Ovis aries: one gene and its partners. The protein of the gene in region 3 purifies or fractionates together with the protein of the main gene of each other region. This does not show direct contact. Links are inferred from orthologs where the notes say so. Each region holds a gene or a part of one and is shown on either strand. Other genes may lie near its edges.

Region 1 (3,646 bases), on a different chromosome or scaffold from region 3:
CTCCATGGACTGTAGCCTACTAGGCTCCTCCGTCCATGGAATTTTCCAGGCAAGACTACTGGAGTGGGTTGCCAGTTGGATCATATGGTTAAAAAAGTGAAGAGGAGAGGTGCAAAAAATGTAAATTTCTTAAAGACATGTAAATGTAGATAATCTCATTGTTTTCAAACTAGATTGCAAAGATTTTATTTCTCTTTTTCTTGTCCTCTAAAGTTGTCCCTGTATGGCTTCATTTTTTTTCTTCTTAAACGAAACTAAGGTTTGGTGAAATCATGGGAAAGATAGTCTTCTCTTTTTAGAAATAAAGTGTTCATATTATTTCTGATAAATATTAATGTTAGTGAGTCCCAGCAGATTGGTCCATACTTTCTTTGAAAGCTAGTATTCTACACTTAATTTTGAGATACTTTTAAAATCCTGTTGTTCCACAAATAATTGAATTCCTGACATCTTTTCTATATAGAATTCACCCGTCAATGCAGGTTAATTAATGCTTTCTTTTTTCTCTGATTTTTTGTCTTCTGGTTTAGGAGCAGAAGAGACCCTTGTGTCTTTTTCTGCAGCAGCATACTTAAGTGGCCTTTGCAAGCATTCTTTGAACCAATGAAATGTCAGCTCTGAAATTGTTCGAGGTTTTGTTTTTGCATTTTAGATAACTGCCATGTAGTGATCAGTGACCTGTTCAATTTTTAGAAACTTTTTTTGCTTATTAAAGTACTAAGAGGATATTGTGAAAAAGTACAGAGAACTAAAAGCAAGACGGTATCACTTACCCTCTTTTCCCATGGTTGAGTGGATAGTGTTGATCAGAGAGAGGAATTTAGAAGGGGAGTTTATTTTTTATACGAGGAAGGAAAAAGTACCAAAGTTAGAAATACACCACATATACACCACATATAGAGTGTTTTAGAAATTCAGAGGAACACCAGCCAGACCTTAAGGGGAGAGGAAGAAGAAGGAGGGAGAGAGACAAATCAAGCAGAGAGGAGAGGCAGAACCGTGGAGTGGTTTGTTTGCATTCTTTTCACAGCAAAACTGAGAGGAGCCAAGAACATAGTAGGCGTCTGGCCAAGCGGAGTTGAGTGCAGTTAAGGTCTGGGTCAAGGCCGAGCGCTAGTCTCTGGTTACTCTGGCAATGAGATCCCTTCCCTATGGCAATGGCATTAGGATGAGAAGAATCTCAAGCAAATAAACAACGAGGGGAGAAGACACAGATGGGAAGAAGTTGGTGGGGGACGGTGTGCTCAAAACAAAGACTGCTGGTGAAGGGAGGGAGTTTTTGTTAGAGTAGAACAGGTGACTTGAGCGTGTTCCTTCGAGAGTGCTGCTGAATATCCCTGCCAGGCTGCTTCTCCCATGCTCCGGTCAGGTTGCACGCTGCTAATAATCTAGCCCCTTGGCTCAGGTGTCTGGCCTGTTCTCACCAGTGGCGTCGCCTGAGAGGCTCTGTGGCCTGGGAAGAACCGGCCGTTTCCTGGCTGGGAGCCGTGTGTCAGTCTTCCGGGCTCAGAGCTGTGGCCTGGGTGCCTGTCACTCCCAGCTGTCAGCCGGGAGCGTTGGGCGCCCCTGGAGGGAGGAGTAGAAGAAGGAGTCGGCACTGACCTTTCACTTGTTACCTAAGGCCAAACTTTGAGTGTATTGGGCGTGTAAGATGAAGCGTTGCCGTACCTGTCTTTGTTGGCTGTTGTATGTAGTAACTAGTTGTTGAGAAGATGTGGCTCAGGCCTTTATTTAGATTTATGATGTCTTTGCTAAATGACCTTGTAGGGAATTACGATATTAAAGCAGGCACGTATATTCACAGAAGGCGTTTGACGTGTTGCCTCAACAGAAACGTTTTTAAGGGGAGAAAAGGCAAGTCAGTCTCAAGGTTTTATTTGCTGTTGTGTGGACGACGACAGTGGCCTCTGACTAGCCTCCTTGCTGCTGTTCTCAGCTGTTCTTGCTGCTGCTGAAATAATCTTGCTAAAATACCACATTGGTCATAGGGCCACATCTTTGCTTTAAAAACCCGCCACTGGTTTCCTTACAGTCTAAATTTAGCTTTCATGAAGCTCGGTCTGACTCCACCCTAACTGTTCAACCTTACAGTCTCACAGATTCCAGTTTTTCCTTTGTGCCCTGGGTAGCTTTTTTTGTCCTTTCTAGGAATTCGTCCCCTCTTCTCTCCACTTACACAAACCCTCCATGATCTTTAAGGCCCAGTGCAAGGCCTGTGTTTCCCACAGCCTTCCCAGACCTTCCTGCTCTCCATCCTCTAAACTCCTACGCCCTCAGGGTCCTTACTGTTGCATGCTTTATTATAATGCGTCCTAGACCCCATGATTTCTCAGAACGCATGATTTTTCATTTCTCTGCTTGAGTATGTGGTCTTTGGGGGCAAGTAACTTATGCATTCTTTCTGTGACACATAGCACATAGTTGGCACTCATATTTGCTAATTAATGATGCCTGTAATGAGCTCCTTACTTCCCTTTTCCTTGGACATTTTGAAACTATAGTCAGACCACATCAGCATATTAGAAGTCATAGCTGAGCATGCTTGCCATTGCAGTCTGACTAAATTTGGAGTGTTTACAGTTTTATTTTTGGCCCACCTTTGACGATGGCGTAAGGAAAAGTAAACCAGGTTACGCTCGTGATGTGAGCAGCATGCCAAAATCTTCTTCACCTCTTCTGCAGTGTATGCCATCCGGGAAGCTGCCACCAATAACCTCATGAAACTAGTTCAGAAGTTTGGTACAGAGTGGGCCCAAAATACCATCGTTCCCAAAGTGTTAGTAATGGCGAATGATCCTAATTACCTGCATAGAATGACCACTTTATTCTGCATTAATGTAAGTATTACATAGCTGTTTTGTTAAGCTCTGGTGTTAAACCAGTTATTCAGGACTATATTTCTGAATCCTGAATATGTTGTCCTCTGTTTGGACTATATTTCTTAATACTGATTAAGTTGGATATTTAGGAGATGAGAGAAAACTGTCAATTTTTCAATTGGTGTTAAACTCTACAGTCAAGTCAGTTTTGAATTCTGGTCTAATTCTGGGATTCTGTTCTACCTTGTATCTTTCATCACATGCTTACACTAGAAACATTTTCCTGGCAGCCAGTTACTTTCTTAGCTCTTTAGATTTGGGGATACTTTTTTTTTAAAAAAAGGTGTATTTTAATGTGCTGTCTTATTTCTTTTTCAAGGCACTGTCTGAAGCCTGTGGTCAGGAAATAACCACTAAGCAGATGCTGCCGATTGTATTGAAAATGGCAGGAGACCAAGTAGCAAATGTCCGTTTTAATGTGGCCAAATCTCTACAGAAAATTGGACCAATTCTAGATACCGAGTAAGATTTTTAATATTCTTTTTTAAAAAGTAGATTTAAGTTTTCACCCCATGCAGGCAGAAATAGCTATAATTAGATTTGGTGATTTTCACATCACCTAAGATGTGGGTTAGGTTAAAGAAAATAATAAAGTAATTCAATAACCAATTTTGAGGGTGTCTGTTTTATATTTAAGCTCTGTACATGTGTAGATCATTGTCCAAAGCTAATTCTGCAGAGACTTAGAGAAATTATTTAGTACTTGTCAAGTTAATATTATAGGTGTTTTAAAATATTAAAAAAATTTTAAACTGTGAAAATTACCA
Region 2 (3,646 bases), on a different chromosome or scaffold from region 3:
CAAAGAATAATTATATAAATTTCTTAATCAGCTACAGCCATGCTGAATTCGAACCGGCAAACTCTGACTTGTGAGTTGTTAGTTGTGGTCTCCATGTCACTAAGATGGACAGACACCACTCTAATAGCTTTACACAGATGCATTCTAGGAGACGTTGTTCTGCTGTGGTCACAGTAACAAAGAAGTGGTGCAGAATCAGTTACTTTATAAATACTGATAATTTGCAGCATTAAGGAACAGGACATTAAAAAAAATACATTTCCCCATAGGACACCTATGACTAGGAACTCTTCTTTTCCTAAAAGAAGCCAAAGTTTTAATTATTCAGTTTCACAACTATTGTACTGGATTACTTACTCTAAGAAAGAAAAGGTGCTCTAAAGAGGTCTCCCCACACACAAAGAATCAGCATTAATTTAGCATAATTGGTATCATTCGTAGATCTGGAGAACTCTTGACTCATTTTAAATGAATAAGGCCAATATTACGCAGGAAAAAGTGTAGCTGAGTTCCAGGTCTGTACTGTAGTCTATTGATGGCACCCCATTAGATAACTGAATACAAAGGACTGGTTTACTTCGTTTTCTTTTAATGCTGTGATACTTAAATGTTAAATCAGCATTTTCAGGTGATCTGAAGTATTTCAATTACATATGAGCATTCATTTTTTGCAAAAACTCAATATTAGGTAATAGTTACATACTAATACAATAACATTCCTCTGCTGTACAAATTAAATCATTTAAAAGAAATGAGCATTCTAAGAATTATATACAAAAGAAACCTGTAAGCACTGTTGAAATGAAATGCGAGGTGTCGTTGCTAGCTCTACTGTTTTAAAATACCTTCAAAAAGTAAAATTAACAAATACCCTTCAACATATCCAGGTTTACAAGTCTCAAGAAAATCAAATGTCAAAAAATTCCAGAAAGCTGTGAAAAGCATATATACATTTTCCTTATGACCTTATGAAGCTTCACACTTTTCAGAAGTTGCTAAGTTTCAGTATCAATTTATTCGTGTGTCAACTTTATCCACTCAAGGAGCTCCCATCTTGGATACAGTTCCCCTAGGATTTCAAATAAAGCTCTGCACGATCTTCCACGAGTGAAGGCATACAATCTTACTCAGAATCCACACTCAGATCTTTAACAAAGATAAACACAAACAGGCAGGTTTACTCTGATCAGATCAATGCGCTCTTCCCCTAACACACACTATCATCTATGCATTTGCCTTCAAGGAACCTAGCCATGTTCAGAACTTCTACAGCAAACGGAGTCTTTAAATTCTGAAATGACACAAAGATCAAGAAAAAGTCCACGTGTGCTCTAGTGTGCAAGAAAGCAGCAGCTACGTTCTCCAACTTGGACTAAAAAAACAAACAAAAAAAATCAAAAAAGGTAAAATGAAAACCGTTCATATAACAGCAGATTAGCAGTAATGTTCCTCATGAACTGATAACAGTGCCTGATGCTGAAGAGCGAACAGCAGACGCTGAACTTGGATTTAATATTTTCGGTGTTTATTGGAAATCAGGCTTCTTGCTGAGCTGGTCTCTTCAAATCCCTGATCTGTTTGACTAAATACGTCTTCTCATCATTGAACTGCTCGTCCTCGGTCCTGTCATTCTGGAACTTGCTGAGGAACTCTATGAGCTTGGCTTGGTTCTTGAGGAGGATGTCGAGGATGGGCTGCGTCTTGTTGGGGTTGGCTACGAACACCTGCACAAGGAGAGATCAACGTCAGCTACAGGAAGGACAGTGCGCGGTGTGGAGACGCTGCAGACAGCAGAGCACGTGTGGCCACGCCCACTGCTCCCCGGGGCACGGGCTGCAGTCCAGATTGCTCATTCGGGTGTCTGCTTTGGAAGACCTTACTTTTACAATTAAAAAAGGAGGGAAGAAGTGCATGTTTAAGCACAAAAAGGACCGACATGTTCACTCATGCTCTGAAACTCTGTAGTTTGTATTAAATACAGACTTTGATTTTAGAATAAAATGGGCAGAAGTTAGTTCTGGGCACAGGAGGTCAGAATGGATTTTAAGAACAAAAATCTCCATGGAAAGCATTAAGAAATGCATTTCCCTTTACTTTGGGATTAGTAATTTTCCACGCCAAAGACCACCTGATGCGAAGAGCTGACTCATTGGAAAAGACCCTGATGCTGGCAAAGACTGAAGGCGGGAGGAGAAGGGGACAACAGAAGATGAGATGGCTGGATGGCATCACTGACTCGATGGACATGAGTTTGAGCAAGCTCCGGGAGTTGGTGATGGACAGGGAAGCCTGGTGTGCTGCAGTCCATGGGGTGGCAAAGAATCAGACACAACTGAGTGACTGAACTGAACTGATGCCAAAGACGGGTGACACTCCTCTACAAATCAACTTTTCTTATTCCCAAATGCAAATGCCCTGTTTCCGGGTCCATTTTTGTTTAAATGTTGTACCACACAACTGTGAAAATGGACTGAATGACTGTGTCACTCAGATTACCAAAATGAAGCTAATAAAACAAGTAACTTGCAAATAAAATGGGATGAACAACTAGTGTTTATGGTCTTAGCACTCTACCTTAAAAACGTGGAAGGCCTCAAACTGGATGTTACGGCTTTTGTCTCGTAGAAGGTTCATCATTAATTTGAGGTTCTCAGGTTTACTGATGTATTTTGTCATAATCGTGAAGTTGTGTCTGTCTAGTAGCAGTTCCCCCAGAAGCTGAGAAGACAAACAATTTATCCGTTTATTCCACCATTATCATTTAAGATTTGAAGTAAAACTAAAGTTTTAAAAACAGTTCATTAAATATTATTAAGCACAGAATATTAATAGGCACTGAAAAGATGGATGAACTGAATTATGACCTGAAAGCTAATGAGCACTTCCTGTTTGCTACTTGGACACCTCCTTTTTCTTCTGGGGTTTACACCTATGGTGGGTCTGGCACTGCTCCCTGAAGAAGACCACATTCAAGCCACATCTGGCTCAGAATCTGAGACTTATCAGAACCTGTTCTTTAAATATGCGTTTGTGTTATCTCAGTAAAAAGAAACCACCAAAGAAAGTGGTCAGAAGATAAGTTACTGGATAACTATAAACCTTAGCTATATTTAAAAATAATTTTACGTATCTGAACTTTATGGGACAAAGGGTTTCATGCACACAGCTTTCTATACACGTCAAACATCGTTTTATCTTATCAGATTAAAAAAGCTTCATAAAAACGAGTACTTTTCTGGTCCTTCTTAAGCAAGGTATCCTGAAGATACTCTAAGCTTCTCTTAGTGACACCACAATATCACTAATGAAGTTAATTAAGCTAAAAAAAAAAAAAAATCTGTCGCTTCAGTTAAGTCTGTGCTTACTGAGTTCTATGAGTTGATTGTGCCACATCAGCTCTTAATTTTAAAATCAAACCTGCTTGTTCTAGATTTCTTCTTCTGAAACTCGCGGTCACCTCTTCATGTTGTCATGGTGCCAACTTCCTGTCAAGGACTAGTGTGCAGGTGGCATGGCCTGCATGGGGGCACGGGCCAGAGGCACAACAGAGTGGCGTCCAGCCTGGCTCCCGGCACCAGCCTGCCTGGGCTCAAATCCTGACACTCTGCTCCTTGTGAGCTCTATATCCTTGAGCATATTATTTAAC
Region 3 (3,746 bases):
GAAGGCAGGAGGACAAGGGGACAACAAGGGATGAGATGGTTGGATGGTATCACAAACTCAATGGACATGAGTTTGGGTAAACTCCAGGAGTTGGCAATGGACAGGGAGGCCTGGTGTGCTGCAGTCCATGGGGTCGCAGAGAGTCAGACACAACTGAGTGACTGAATTGAATGGAACAGATCACATAAAATTTACCATCCTAACTGTCCCTGGGACTGCAAGGAGATCCAACCAGTCCATTCTGAAGGAGATCAACCCTGGGGTTTCTTGGGAAGGAATGATGCTGAAGCTGAAACTCCAGTACTTTGGCCACCTCATGCGAAGAGTTGACTCACTGGAAAAGACTCTGGTGTTGGGAGGGATTGGGGGCAGGAGGAGAAGGGGACGACAGAGGATGAGATGGCTGGATGGCATCACGGACCGGATGGACGTGAGTCTGAGTGAACTCGGGGAGGTGGTGATGGACAGGGAGGCCTGGTGTGCTGCTATTCATGGGGTCGCAGAGTCGGACACTGAGCGACTGAAGTGAACTGAACTGTACATTTCAGCAGCGGGAAATACATTCTCATGGTTATGCAGCCAATCTCCAGATCTCTTGTCATCTTCTGAGACTGAGGCTCCGTCCCCATTAGACACCCCTTCCCCCTACACTCACACTTCGCCTTTCTGTGCCGATGAATCCGGCCACTCCGGGGACCTCATACAAGTGGAAGCGAACCGTGTTTGTCCTTCTGGGTCTGGCTGCGGTCACTCAGTGCCACGTCGTCAAGGTCTACCCAGGCCGACCTGTGTCAAAAGCGCCTTCCTTTTTCAGACTTAATAACATTCCAAGACACTTCCAGGCCCGGTTCACCCTCCCAAGCCCGGAAGCCGGAGGGGTGAGGCCTGCAGGACCCGGCCGGAGCCCCGGGCCAGGTCCGCCCAGGTGCGGCCAGGCGGCGGGAGGGCGGAGCGGCCCCACCCGCGGCCGCCCCGCCCCGGCGCCGCCTGGCCCCGCCCCGCCCCGCGGCCTGCCGGGAGACGTAGGCCCGCGCCTCTCAGGAAGCCGGACTCGGAGTCCCAGCGCGCCCCGCGGCGCGCCTGCGGGCCTCCTCTGCGCTCCAGCCCGTGGCCTGCCGGGATTTGCAGTCCGGCGCCCGCGGGCGCCCCGGCGCGGGGCGAGCGAGCGACTCGCTGTCCCAGAATGCCCCGTGCTGGGCCGCGACGCCGCGTGCCCTCGCCTCCGCCGCCGCCGCCGCCGCCGCCGCCGCCGCCGCCGCCGCCGCCGAGCTTTCTCCGGCCGCCGCCGCCACTGCCGCTGCTTCGCGAGCTGAGGGCCCAGGCGTCCGCGGGCGAGTGGAGGCTGTGGGTGGGAGCCCTCGCGGGCACTGCGGAGCGGGCCGGGGGAGGCCGGGATGGAGCCCCCCGGAGGTGGGCGCGCCGCCGGGCTGGCCCGCGCCTGGGCCGGTTGGGGAGGGGGCCGGGCGGCGCGGCCGCGGGGCGGGGCCGGGGGTGAGGCGGGGCGAGGCGCCCCGGGGGCGGGTAGGGGCGGCCCTGGCCGGGGGCCGGGGTCTGGGGAGGGGTGGGGGCCGGGGAGGTGTGCGCGGCGTCGGGGGGCTCCCCGGGGAGGCCTGAGGCAGGGTCGGGCGCGGAGGGTGCGCGGCGGGAGCCCTTCGGGGGACCCTTCTCCAGCTGGTCCCCAGATGGTTGGAGGAGGGGGCTGCCGCCGCGCCCCGGGGGGCGGGGAGCCCCGCGTACCCGGAACAGGGCCCCCGAGCAGGTCTGCTCTCCCTCCAGTTGACTGAAGCGGCCTGAAGCGGGTTCCAGAGCCTCCAGGCGGGATCTCGGGGCCTCCCGGGGGCGCGGCGGATGGTCTGAGGGCCGCGCAGCCATGGCTCACCTCAGGGGATTTGCCAACCAGGTAAGGGTGGGCGTCTGCACGCTGCCTGGGACGGGGCGCCGGCTGCAGAGGTCGAGAAAGGCCGTTTCACCAAGGAGACTGTCTTTTGAAAAGTGGTCCGGGGGTGTCAGAAGAGCAGCCCCTCTTAGGGCGCGTGTGGGAGGAGGGGTGGAGGCCCGTGATGCGTAGCCCTGGGCAAAGCGGGAGCAGTCGCCAGGTGCTCAGATTTGGTGGGTGCAGGGCGGACTGGGGTCCGCCCGTTGGCAGCGTCCTGTGGGGCAGGACCCCCACCAGCCTGTCAAAGTGTAGCCTCAATGCAGGGTCAGCCGGAGGTATGTAGAGACCCACGCTGTTACAGGGCTGAACCCCAGGAACTGGGTCTGTGCGTCTGGAGGGCCGCGGAGGGTCAGGGTCCACCAGCACATTGGCTTGGGGGACGGGCCTGCTCGGCCCTGAGGGGGACGAGGGGGGCTGGGAGTATCTGTGTGCAGGGAAGGCAGAGGACGCGCCTGTGTGTTTCTCTTGCTGGGTGGACAGGGCTGCCACTGGGCTGCGAGGGGCCTGCCTGGGAGATGCCCACTGTTTTTTGGCTGGTTGGTTCTTGAAATTACCAACGCCACAGCACTTTGAGGGGTCTGGCTCTGTGCATTAACTGCCTGAGTCCAGGGGACCCTCCACAATGTGCCCTGGGGCTGATGGCTACAGTTAGGCGGGTTGGGGCAGCCGCCGCCAGGGCTTGTGGGCCACGCTTCCCCCCCCTTTTCTGTTACTGCAAGGCAGGTGTGAGTGGAAGCTCCTGGGAAGTAAGCGCCCCAGCTGGTGCGGTGGTCCTTCACCCCAGCTGTTGGGTTTTGCTCTTCTTAGCTGGTCAGCTGGGGTGCGGTTTAGGCTGACGGCTGCGAGGTGGTGGGAGCGCCTCTTGAAGAGAATTGAGCCCTCGGGCTCGCTCCGTTCAGCCCAGTTTGGGAGGACTGGGAGCCTGGGAGGAACAGAAAGTGCGTGTCCTTGCGGGGGAGGAGGAGCTGGAGTCAGGTCGGCTCTAGATGCCTGGGCTCTTCGGAGAACCCCAGGGCGCCGCGCTGATGCTGCAGGTGGGCCGCTGCAGGCCCGTGCTCCCTCGGACACGTGCGTCTTCCGAGTCCCTGGACTAAGATGCTGGCAGAGAAGTCTGGCTCCAAGTCAAGGGCTGTAGGAACGGCCCCCCGTGTGCGGACGTGGCGCTGTGAGCGGCCCCTCACCTGGGTGCTGGTGGTGCTCGCAGCGGGGCTTGGGTGGCTGCGTCTTGCCCGGGGACGGAGCGGGGCTCAGGGGAGCTGAGGAAGGGACCCCAGAGGAAGGAAGCCCCTTTTGTCCTTTCAGGGGTGGAGACGCTTGGTCTTTGTCGGTGACAGGAAGCCTGACAGGACGTTGTTTTCCTTGAGGTGGTTGTCATCGTGGTCCTGTGAGGCGGTCCCTGTGTGCGTGGGGTGGTGGCCTGCTCCCCGCGGGGGAACCTTGGGCATTGGGCCCCCGCCGGGCTGTGACTCCTGCCCAGGCCTGTGCAGCTGTAGAAGCGCCCTGTGCAAGTGACTGCCACCTGTCGTGGGGTGCATGGGGGCCGCTGGCCAGCCCTCACTTGGGGGGTGATGCCAGCGGCGGGCGTGGTGCTAAGTGGATGTGCAGGCGGCTGAGCGGTGACCGCAGACCGGGCCGCCCCAGGGCAGGTTCAGGGCCCGGTGGTCTGGGCCAAGCGAGCAGGCCGAGCGGCTGTCCAGACCCGGCTCTCACAAGGGCCCCCGCAGCCCGGCCCCGGCCCTGTCTCCCTTCTCCCCCGCGCGGCTGTGAGCAGGCTGTCCCAGGGTGCGCTGCTGGGGCCTCTGTCCACTCA

Evidence for each region. The genes of interacting proteins can lie anywhere in the genome.
Region 1: the proteins of STK25 (region 3) and PPP2R1B purify together in Homo sapiens (affinity purification with mass spectrometry; 3 studies listed by BioGRID and IntAct, with this or other methods). This does not show direct contact. The link is inferred for Ovis aries from reciprocal best matches to the Homo sapiens genes STK25 and PPP2R1B.
Region 2: the proteins of STK25 (region 3) and CAB39 purify together in Homo sapiens (co-immunoprecipitation; 3 studies listed by BioGRID and IntAct, counting the BioPlex papers as one, with this or other methods). This does not show direct contact. The link is inferred for Ovis aries from reciprocal best matches to the Homo sapiens genes STK25 and CAB39.

What each region holds. Positions count from the first base shown.
Region 1 is NC_056068.1:21,758,754-21,762,399, reverse strand, and holds part of PPP2R1B (serine/threonine-protein phosphatase 2A 65 kDa regulatory subunit A beta isoform), read left to right. Parts: intron 1-2,682; coding exon 2,683-2,837; intron 2,838-3,198; coding exon 3,199-3,341; intron 3,342-3,646. UniProt on the Homo sapiens protein: The PR65 subunit of protein phosphatase 2A serves as a scaffolding molecule to coordinate the assembly of the catalytic subunit and a variable regulatory B subunit.
Region 2 is NC_056055.1:232,626,381-232,630,026, reverse strand, and holds part of CAB39 (calcium-binding protein 39), read right to left. Parts: intron 2,719-3,646; coding exon 2,575-2,718; intron 1,725-2,574; coding exon 1,536-1,724; 3' UTR 1-1,535. UniProt on the Homo sapiens protein: Component of a complex that binds and activates STK11/LKB1. In the complex, required to stabilize the interaction between CAB39/MO25 (CAB39/MO25alpha or CAB39L/MO25beta) and STK11/LKB1.
Region 3 is NC_056054.1:366,061-369,806, forward strand, and holds the start of STK25 (serine/threonine-protein kinase 25), read left to right. Parts: upstream 1-1,266; 5' UTR 1,267-1,331; exon of another isoform or gene 1,332-1,410; intron 1,411-1,776; 5' UTR 1,777-1,870; coding exon 1,871-1,900; intron 1,901-3,746. UniProt on the Homo sapiens protein: Oxidant stress-activated serine/threonine kinase that may play a role in the response to environmental stress.